3 linked regions of the Styela clava genome follow. The protein of the gene in region 1 binds, or shares a complex with, the protein of each later gene. Links are inferred from orthologs where the notes say so. Each region holds a gene or a part of one and is shown in the gene's direction. Other genes may lie near its edges. The genes, in order: GATOR1 complex protein NPRL3-like, GATOR2 complex protein WDR59-like and nucleoporin SEH1-like.

What was found.
Region 2: GATOR1 complex protein NPRL3-like (region 1) and GATOR2 complex protein WDR59-like share a complex: the UniProt entries of both Drosophila melanogaster proteins name them as parts of the GATOR complex. The link is inferred for Styela clava from reciprocal best matches to the Drosophila melanogaster genes Nprl3 and Wdr59.
Region 3: GATOR1 complex protein NPRL3-like (region 1) and nucleoporin SEH1-like share a complex: the UniProt entries of both Drosophila melanogaster proteins name them as parts of the GATOR complex. The link is inferred for Styela clava from reciprocal best matches to the Drosophila melanogaster genes Nprl3 and Nup44A.

The regions. Positions count from the first base shown.
Region 1 is NC_135253.1:12,145,776-12,149,534, reverse strand, and holds GATOR1 complex protein NPRL3-like, read left to right. Parts: upstream 1-778; 5' UTR 779-780; coding exon 781-2,451; 3' UTR 2,452-2,793; downstream 2,794-3,759. Other genes in the region: lysophosphatidylserine lipase ABHD12-like, read left to right, coding at 1-111; uncharacterized protein LOC120325627, read right to left, coding at 2,794-3,666. UniProt on the Drosophila melanogaster protein: An essential component of the GATOR subcomplex GATOR1 which functions as an inhibitor of the amino acid-sensing branch of the TORC1 signaling pathway.
Region 2 is NC_135262.1:4,861,138-4,864,896, reverse strand, and holds the start of GATOR2 complex protein WDR59-like, read left to right. Parts: upstream 1-912; 5' UTR 913-1,617; coding exon 1,618-1,653; intron 1,654-2,211; coding exon 2,212-2,397; intron 2,398-3,265; coding exon 3,266-3,470; intron 3,471-3,759. Other genes in the region: uncharacterized protein LOC120332162, read left to right, coding at 1-642. UniProt on the Drosophila melanogaster protein: A component of the GATOR complex, which functions as a regulator of the amino acid-sensing branch of the mTORC1 signaling pathway.
Region 3 is NC_135251.1:17,064,581-17,068,339, forward strand, and holds the start of nucleoporin SEH1-like, read left to right. Parts: upstream 1-1,414; 5' UTR 1,415-1,445; coding exon 1,446-2,518; intron 2,519-3,759. UniProt on the Drosophila melanogaster protein: Probable component of the nuclear pore complex (NPC). Involved in maintaining the localization of another nucleoporin Mgtor to the nuclear envelope of early meiotic female germline cells.

The DNA.
Region 1 (3,759 bases):
GCATCTCATGGATACGGGCACATGGATATTTACAAGGCACCAGAGTTGCCTCAATTACTCAGTAACTTTTTAACAGACAAAGACAATTCAGACAGGGTTGTTACTTTGTGATCAGAGGAAAAGCCTATCTCGTTGCTCAAATTCATAAATGGTTCTTTTTTAATTTCGTTATCAATATATACCCAAATACAAAGTGGAATTTATGCATGTCCCTAGTTTGCTGTGACTCATAACATGATTCTTCATATATTGTGATTATCAGGCATAGAGAAATGACATGGATCACATTCCTCAACTCGAGTGACATGCCATTTGTAAATAGCTGCAAGAGCTTTTGACGAAAGATTTGTGATCTCAACCAAAAAGTTCAAAAAATAAATTTCTTCGAAGCTAAACTACTTCATTATCTGTGCAGAAAACCTCTTGAACGTTTTGAAAATTATAGCAGCTTGACATTAGTACTAATTTATAAATTGTGTTATATGCCGTATGGTAACTTGACATTGTGGATTATTTTTTAAGCAAATGCACCTATCATGACATACAACAAAGTCACAATAAATTACTTCTCTGTTTAATAATGAAAGTTGTATTCAAACTGCATTTTGTAAATAAAGGGTGCAGTTTTTTTCATTACTTTACTTTTTGGTCAGAGGTGTTTGTACTTTTATGACTGGGCTTTCTACTGAGAAATTCGGGTTTTTACTCAATATTGTTTAGAAAAAAACTTGATTCAGTGGGTTCTCAATACTGTAATTATTTTTTTCAGTGTTTTCAGTTATGAGTGGAAGTGATCAACCATGGATACCATTAAGTATCATGTTATCAATGTATGGCAGTAGAATAACCAGTAAGCTGTTGTTCAGATATCCATACAATAAATCTCAAAGTGATACTCAGCCATTGTCTTCCTACAAACAACTGACATCATCAACTTTTCATCTAAACAGGCAACATGGGTCAGTGTCTGATGATTCGGACGATGTAAAAAAGGCACCAAGAAATGAAGCAGAGCAGTTGGATTCTTTCAGTGATGAACTACTAGCAACTATACTCAGTCCTGGAAACACCAAGATTTGTGGAAAAAAGTTTGACCTAAAGACGAATGGAATCCGTTTTGTAGGTTTCCCTTTGGTTATTGACCAATTCAGCAGTGTATTATCAAAGTTTGATATTTTGGAAAAATATAGGCAAAACATCAAAGAGCATGAAGGTTGTAAGAAAAAGGAAGATTCTACACTTTTGTCATTCAACATTGTGTTTGTATTAAAAGCGGTAGCGGAGTACACCATAGTTGAAAAGTACCAAGAGTTGGCACTACAACTTGGTCTTGCCTTGCGATTTGAAGAAAAATGTTCCGATTACTTGACCCACGAAACAAGGCTTATGCTGTCAGTGCATGACGAGATGTCCTTAGAATCTGAGTGTATGGCAGAGCCTGAACACGCCTATAAAACTATATTAGAAAAATCCCACCTGGCCGACCAGCTTCACATCATATTCAATAGTATTTGTCAAACAGGTATCCTGTCTGTTAAAGTAAACAATTCAACACATATTAGTTTTTGTTTGCCTCACAAAGTTCATAATATGGCTTCGTATGGACAAAATACAATATCTGTTTCTTTCATTGAAAAAGCTATAGAAAAAATAAGGCCATATCATGGCATTCTCATATTTGACAAAAAGGAAATATGGTCGACTTTACCAGATGATTATACTCCATCTCTTACAAGATTATTAACAGTTTACGAACCAACAAAATCGCTCCAATGTACTGCATCTGATGCAGATTTGCCGCTAACTCAAATTTATACTTTAACGTCACAATTGGTATATTGGGGTAAAGCGTGTATTATATATCCGTTATGCGATTCAAATATCTATGTTATTGCGCCATCAGCAGAACTAAATCCAAATTCAGAAGCAGCGAGATCTTTTTACATGAGGTTCAACCATGATATGGTGGATGTGTTGTCAAATTTCTCACTACCAGTTCGTCTTAGTGATTTCCAAACTCCACACGGACTATTTTATGGTGAAGAAGATAAGCTAGCTCAAGTTGTGTTTTGGCTCTTGCAACATCGGTTTTTAATACAAATGCACACTTTTATATATTTCTGCCCTGTTGAGGCTGACCAACAGTCTACTATGAGCGAGCAGAAGCCTCCGATTCAAAATACAGAGACTCGTTCAATTATTGCAGGATTGCCCTGGAAGCAAAGGAAAGCAATTATGGATGTCCATGCATCCAATAGCGCTAAAGATTTGAGATTATTTGTAAATTTGTTGAAATATTTTGATGGAAACTGTCACATGGAAGAAATAATGTATAATGAAAATTTATCAAGAACTCAGTTGCTGGCTTTGTTGGATAAATTTTCACCTGTTTTATTAACAACTTCAAGGGAAGATTCAACTACTGCTGCGTTTTGTATGGGTTTGATATAGATTGTCTTCACTTTATGCATGCAATTACAATTTACATTTTGAGAAAACTGGTTTATTGGCGAAACTACATCAACAGCAAGAATTTGAATTAGTACCCAATTTTATGATCAATTTGCCATTAATCGAAATATATAGTTTTCAAAATATGATTAACCAGCTCTAAAACTTACATTTCGTTTCCATTAACTCTAGAGACACCTGCTTCGCTGCTTGTTATTGAAATAGTGAATACTCTTTTCTATGTAGCTGGTGGTCATTTGCGACTTTCTGTTATTTGAATAGTAAAAAAAATGCAGGTCCATGGTACTTTATAAATACTAATATATATTGCTCCATATAAAATTACAGGTTGTGGTTTAGTTGTCTAACTAAAGGAGAAAGATAGTCAATCACATGTTCCAGTCTTCGTAGAGTTATTTCCAAGCGTCCTTGAATGTCTACGCTAACTCCTCTGACACGAAGTGGCTCGAGTGTATCCTCGGAAATGCTAGTACAGTGTTCGCAATTAAGTGTCTCCAATTCTTGACAATATTCCTTTATTATCTTTACACCAGAATCTGTCATTTTCCAGCACTCTATGATATCCAAATGCTTTAACTTGCGGCAATTTTTTGCAATGGCGTCAAGGCTTTGGTCAGTCAATTGGTTAATTTCTGATATGTTCAAATATTCCAAGTTTGGGCAGCATTTGGACATGAACTCCACACATTCATCATCTAGCAAAGAACATTTCTGTAAATCCAGTAGTTTCAGTTTTCTGTTGTTGGAAATGAACACCATAAAATTGTCGTGGTCAACCCATGTACAACCCTTCAGACGTAAATGAGTAAGATTTTCACAGTACATTCCTAATATGCATAGACTTCTATTTGTTAAACCCTTACATTGTGATAAATTAAGGATCGATAAATTGGGGCAGTCATTTATAACTGGAACAAGAAGGTTGTCGTCTATCCAATCTCCGATATTGGGGATAACAATGGTCCGGAGTGATGAATTGCTTTTTGTTAATATTTCAAATGTGGTAGCATCCGCTATACCATCAGAGTCTTTGATATGGATGTGATGGCATTGAGAAAAATATTCCTCCATCATATTGTGAAGTTGTCGACATACTGCACGTAGCCGGAATAAATCGATCATAGATAAATACTTGAATACATTATGATACAGAACATCATGCCTAGGCAGTGATTCTAGCAAATTAGACTCCATAACTTGAACCTTATAGCTACATTTTCAATATCTGTGCAATTTAAAATGGTTTATCAATTGTTTTAAACATAGCGAGAGGAACATGTTTGTAGG
Region 2 (3,759 bases), on another chromosome or scaffold:
TTCATGGATCGTTTACCAAAAGATATGATCGTGGAATGGGATAAACGACTTACCAAAACAGCTGGTGTTACGAAATGTTCATCAAGAACTGTAACCTCAGTTGAAAACGGTATTCGATGTGTCAGTAAAACGTACAAAGCAATGATATCACTTTCAGAAAAGGTTTTAGACACGCTACATCGATTGCGAGATACTTTATGCCATGAAATGTGCCATGCCGCTGTATGGTTGCTCGACAATCAGAATGACGGCCATGGTCCTTATTGGAAAGCATGGGCTCGCAAAGCTACATCCGCACACCCTGAAATGCCAGTGGTAAAACGATGTCACAGCTATGACATCACATACAAGTTCCACTACCAGTGCACAACTTGTCGTAAAATTTACGGCCGACATTCAAAATCGATCAAAGTGGATAAACAAGCTTGTGGCATATGCCGTGGTAAACTTGTCTTGCTGCCACCGACAAAATCTGATGGCACACCAGCAAAAACAAGACAGCCGAATAAGTTTGCGATGTTTGTTAAGGAGAATTATAAAACAGTACAGCGGGCCAACTCAGTAGGAGGAATGACTCCGAAGCATTCGGATGTTATGAAGGCTCTCAGTGAAAAATTTGCTACTCTGTCGACTAAAAAATAAACTGTATAGATTCTCTGGTAGCTTATGTGATTATTCTCGTTCAATTGTCAGCATATTAATGTTATCTAAGGAAATTATTCCCATGCTTCATTTGGACTGGCAACTGGACAATAGGCTGCAGTTTGTTGTGTGATTAGGTCATCCTTCCCTCCATGGAATAAATATGAGAATTTCTCCTTTATTGTGATATTTCTTTTTCTTAATCAACTTTTTGTTGTCTATTGATATGTTTTTGTCCTTATTTTACAATTGATTTATCTAAGTAGGGTTCTCAGATACATTGCATCTGCCTTTAGGGATGTTATATAAGGATATTTTACAATTATTCTTTTCACATTGAATCATTTTTGTTCAGTTTCAAATATATGAATTGCTGAAAAACGTATGGAATATGAATTCGTAAATATTTGATACATGCTAAAATTTGTAACAAATTGGATGAAAGGATAAAAAGATCTAACATCGTGATATTAATTAGATGTTTTAAAAAACATTTCCTAATATTATTATTAAGATTACCATTTAAACTCTGCCTACTGTTTTGACTCATAGGTAGGCTACATATAGTAATGCTTTGTAGTTTAATTAATTTGTTGGTTTTAAAATCGTTCATCATGATTCTTACTCTCCTAGATGAATCATTTTATAGATGGATGGCAAAAGTGCTTTTGATGTTTGACACAAAATGACAATTCTTAGTAATATATATTTTTTTGTCCTGCTGTCTTCTCCATGTCTCTGTGTCTCTTGTTTCATATCGGCTTAATGATGCTAAAAGCTTGATGTTATTGTCATGTATTGTGTAGTTTTGTATTCAATATTACCTCAAATACAAATCTGACCTGACTGCCATTTTTTCATCTTTATAAGAAATGTAGGCAATATAACTATAGGTTAAATATTGGTGCTTACAAGCTGAAGGAGTAAATTTTAAATCATTTCCAGCATATATTTCAGAATTAAACACAGCTCATAATGGATGTCAAAACAGCACAACATCCAAATATTCAGGTAACCACATTTGAATACTTACAAGAAATCACGGTAATGTCAAATCAATGGCAGGCTTACTAATCCCATACCCGACATGGACTGGTAACCAGACGAGGGCTTAACCATATGGTTCGCCATATGATTAGGCTATCCTATTGGCTTCCCTCTCCCACAGGATAAATATGTAAATCCTATCTTGTGTAGTGAATAAGGAATTTATTCTTCATGGAATAAACAATGTTATCATTACCAATATGTAACTAAAAGCATATTTTGAGAACATTTTAAAAATGTGGTTGGGTATTTCTTCAGGTCAGTATAATGAGCCCTCAACTAAAATAGAAAAAGTAGTAATTGTAAGCTATACTGACAAAATAAAAACGGTACCCCCGTAGTCTGTGTTCGAGCTTAGGGTTAGGCCATAATTTTATTCCAATAGTTGCTCATAGTTTTCAGTCCTTTTACACAACTTGATGTAAAGTAGAAGAACAAAATTAGTTACGTCCATATTGGTACACACAATTCTGGAGCGCCATAAAAACTATACCAATCACTCTTTAAATGTATCATTTTCAGGCAAATGCCATGGCCGTGGATTTTGACGGAAGGTACTCAGTACTAGGGACTCGACGTAACATTATACTCATTGATCTAAACAATCCACAAGAAGTTGCTCGTCGTCTTAATCGACAAAGTAAATGGGATATTTCTCATGTTCAATGGAATCCATGCTTCACGAAGAAACAACATTTTGTCGCTACTGTAAGTTTGTTTCATAGCAAATCGTTTTTAAAATCTTGTCCAGAGTAAGCTTTTGCCACTTTCATTGTCTGTTACTTGTAAATTAATTTTGGTCTCCGCTTTGCATCATCAGATACTTTTTGATAAACTTCATATTGTTTTCCTGGCAGTATTGACTTGAGTTACTAGTATATTGTCATCTGGTACCTACTAGCATCTGTTACTGAATAAACCTTTTCATAGCTCTTGAGTGTGCCAAAGTGAAAATATGTACCTTTGTAAATATACCAGTTCTTGAGAATTCAAGTTGTACCAAGATTATAAATTTTAATTTGTGGTGATAAGTGAAGGATTCTCAAAAAATGATAATACTTTAATGTTCAAGCAATAGGATGTCAATGCAGTAATTGCTGATTCTCTCCGAAAAAAGAGTGCTACTTGTTTGATAATTGTTTGAAGCGCTTTTCTTTGTATTTTGATGATGTAGGGGTTTGAAATAAATATCAGAATCATGCACAGCTAGAAACATTCAAAAAAAATCCAAGAATGGAAAACAATGGTAGCTGACTCAAATTGGTTATTTTTTTCTATTCCAGAAACTCTCTATCCATGGGAACTTTTTTATTGTAATACAGTCAATGGGCTGATTCGATCCAGATTCGGTATTCTCAATTGTCCATCCCTATGCTCAAAGATCTTTCTTTTCTTTAAACTTTATGGATTAAGGAGTTGCAAATAATTGAATCTACGCAATGCTTCAAAGATTCAAACAACGCCTAAGATTAGAGAACAATGGAGGCTGAGTGGCTGACCCTGATATTCCATTTTTTGTTATTTCAACCAAAAACTGCAAAAAGTAATTCATAAAATTTAAACTCTTTTATTGCAGTACAGTCAATGGGCTGATCTATGGACATGGGATGAAGGTGCTGGATCTTTGCTTGCAACGTTACGCGGACACACTCGTGTTATTAGTGATGTTGATTGGTGTCCTTGTGATGATAATTTACTTGCAACCTGTTCCATCGATACTTATATTTATGTATGGGATATCAGAGATACAAAACGACCCAAAATGACACCTTCAGCCGTAGGTCAGATTTCGTAACTTTCGTTCGCTAATCTCTGATACAGGGTTACCAGAAATAAGCATAACCCAGGTCATCGAACATATCTTGAGAAAACATAACTTTTGTGCAAAGGGGTACAATAATATACAAACAGAAGTTTTAAGCGTTAAATAATTTTGTAAAAGTAATGAAAATTTATGGGTTCTGTTTTTTTGATCACCCTGTATATTACATTACCACATTTGTATATTATTGACATAAATTTTTCATTCAAAGTCAGACAAGAAAATATGGTTTGGTATTTATTTAATGA
Region 3 (3,759 bases), on another chromosome or scaffold:
AAGGACATCAGGGAAACATAATAATACAATAACAAAGAACGAACTGTAATAAACAAAATGTATTCATGCTAGTGCGTGTCTAAACATACTTTGCAAAGGATTTGCTCCAGCAGTTCTTTATTCTTAGAAAAAATCTGTTCCATCTCACTTTCAAGTTGTATTTTAATTCAGGTTACACGCAGTGATTTTGGTCGGTAGGCTTTTGTTTTGTCACTGTGTCAATTATTTTTCAGTTCTTACTTATGGATTCACGTAGCAATCAATGATGTTGTAAAATATCATTTCTAGCAAATCAATCATTCGATTTGACCAATCTAAATGCCCGATATTAGAACGTCTACCCGTAAAATAAGGTCACATGTCGAAATAAGGACGTTTCTTAGAAATAAGGAAAAAATTCTTTTCTAAGACAAAGGCCTTCAAAATAAGGACAAATCTTAGAAATAAGGACGTTATGGCAGCCCTAGCTATATCAGTACCTGCAAACGGCACATGGTTGATTAATTTTAATAAAAATGATGACTCCAAACACGTAAACCATTTTATATGCGCCAACACATCTAAGCACTCTCAGAATAAGCATGAAGTTTACAATTGTAAAGTATAGTGGTAAATTTTCCGGAGTCAAGGGTCGGAGAAACATCCACATAGCGCTGGTGCGCTATCAGTCATTGTCTCTAGAGATCGCCCGCTATTGCCCATCTTAAATGAAGCGATATGGGCATGTTTTTGTCCGTTTTGTGTGTCACGCCACAAAGGATGTAGTGCCACATTATAAAATACTACCGTTACTACTAAATAACACGTTTCTTGTGTCTTTTTCCTCACGCCAAAAAAGAAGCTTTGTCGGTGGTACGCGGCCATAGTGAAAAACAGTGAAGTGGTACGCGGTCAGTAAAAGGTTGAGAACCACTGAAGTAGACCTATTGATTTTTGTTGTGTAAAAAGAATTCTATTTGACTCTATTATTCAATTCTACAAGCCGGATAGTGCTGTAAAATATTTATGAGTTCTAAACTTCAGAAATTTTTTGTTTTTATAATTTCCATTTAAACTGATCACAAGCTAACACCATTGCCGTTTACTATTATTATTGCATCACTTCCTTTTTTATTTTTTTGAAATAACGTCTCAATAAAACACAACCAAAAAAATTGAATTAATGAGAGTATGATGCAAAACATTTGAACCACTAACTAAAGACATGCATGCATCGCGGGTACCCATCTCTTAATGAATACCAAGTGGCCAGTACCAAGAGCTACAAGGAGGCTGTTTAAATCAGAACAATCATGAAAGCACAATCAATTTACTCAAAATTTGCCCAAATTTTAAATTTAATTTTAATTAAATTAAATTTTAATCAGAACAATCATGAAAGCACAATCAATTTACTCAAAATTTATATTTTACATATCTCAACTTGTAGTAATTTTATAGCTAAAATGGATGATACAGAATCACTAGCTGAATTTAGTGCCATTAAGATCAATGCCGAACATAAGGATCTTATTCATGACCTTGCTTTCGATCATTATGGAAAGCGTATGGCGACTTGTTCCAGTGATCAAACTGTCAAAGTATGGGATTTAGATGATGATGGTGATTGGTACTGCAGTTCCAGCTGGAAAACTCACAATGGTTCAGTCTGGAAAGTATGTTGGGCTCACCCTGAATTTGGGCAAGTGCTTGCAACATGTTCCTTTGACAGAACTGCTGCTGTATGGGAAGAGATTGTTACTGATACGACAACATTGAAAAATAATAGATCATGGATACGTAAATCGTCTCTTGTGGATAGTCGAACATCTGTAACTGATGTAAAATTTGCTCCAAAACATCTCGGTCTACAACTGGCTACTTGCTCTGCTGATGGAATTGTACGTGTTTACGAAGCACCTGATGTTATGAATCTGGCTCAATGGTCTGTTCAGCATCAAATCAAATTGAAATTAGGTTGCAGTTGTTTGTCCTGGAACCCCTCAAGTTTTTACAAACATCCTTCAATGATTGCAGTGGGTAGTGATGATAATAACCCATCCGTGGGCGGCAAGGTTTTAATATATGAATACAGTGAAATCAATCGTGATTGGGTCAAAGTTCACACAATAATGACAATAACGGATCCTGTTAATGATATTGAATTTGCTCCGAATTACGGTGCGATGAGACACACGCTTGCCGTAGCGTCAAAGTGTGTTCATATTTTTGTTATGAAGCTTTTGAGTGATTCTAAAACATCTGGAACTGAATCGTCTAGCTATTCTGTGAGTGAAGTCGCTAAATTTGATGCTCACAATAGCAAAGTATGGAGAGTTAGTTGGAATGTTCTTGGTACGGTGTTGTCATCGTCTGGAGATGATGGAAAAGTTCATCTCTGGAAAGCTAATTATTTAGATAATTGGAGAAAAGTTGGAACATTGAAAAATTTGCAAGATAATAAAACAACACAAAGCAATGTTTCAAGACAAAATAGCTCCAATGATAAAGGACTGTCCAATTCTCAACAAACTATCAGGTATGCTGGTGGAAATGTTCGAGGTGGACAACTTTTTTAATAAAATTCTGCATGTTTGCAAGTTTTAAATATTTTTTCTAATTTCATTCAATTCGAAACTTGCAATTCTGAGTGTTTGCATATGCTTTGTTCCCAATAATCTTGTCTTATAATTTATATAATTTTGAGGCATGGTTATGTATTTGCTATATTCAAAAAAATTGTACATATAGAAATAAAGTGAAATTTGTGATTGCATATTGAACTAATTTAGATTGGTAATGTAGTATTGCTCATCTCAGTCAAGCATAGGCTGCTAGGGCAATACATAGTGAAATTGTCACAAATTTGGGGTGATTGCTAGACATTGCTTAGGGTAAAGTGGTGGCTTACAAAGATTGAGAATTATCGTTTATCCTCATATATGAGCCGATTTCACATATAAGCCGACCCCGTAAAAAGGCCCTTCAGCATTGTCGTCTATTATGGAATGTTGGCATATCGGTATTGACGTTTTCAGCAGCGGTGAATTTTTATAAAAAATTCGTATTTAAGCCGACCCTACAAATCATACGCCCTTATTGGTAGGAAATTAGCATGGTTTGAGTGGAATTAAGTTAGCATAATATCATTTCGTTTGAGTGCGATTAGAGTTATGCGCTTTTATTAAGCCAAATTTTTAGTGCGATTAGAGTTATGCGCGTATAAGCCCTTAGTTTCGCAACTTTTTTGAGCTTTGTATTCGGCTTATATGCGAGGATATCAGTGATTTTTTTTAATCATCGTCAGTGCCTAAATATTAAATTAACAGAGGGGACCATTGAAATAGCAACTGGGGCTATTAATCTATCTATTCGCAACTAATTCATGATGCCTTGGACATATCGTAATTGAAAAATATTACTGTGACATGATTTTCTGTTTTTTTTTCTTGACATATAACCAAAAAACACATGTATAGGACAGGCCTACATGGTGAATAATATGCTCAGGCTGTGAAGTGGAAACTGTGGTACCATGAGATTCACAGGTGCTAGCAGCTTTGGTGTGAATTAACTGTAAGTTTACTCCAACTTCATTGAGTATTACTGGTGGCCATTTCGCAGAAGATTATGACCTATGATCAATGTTCCCTCTAATTTTTTGTAGTATGTGTGCGCAGAAGTTTTGGTGTGTGCGCACTTTTTTTGAAATGACTAATATTTGTGCAAATACCAATGAAGAAATTTTAGCGTTCTAACCGGGTAATGGGTGGGCCAACA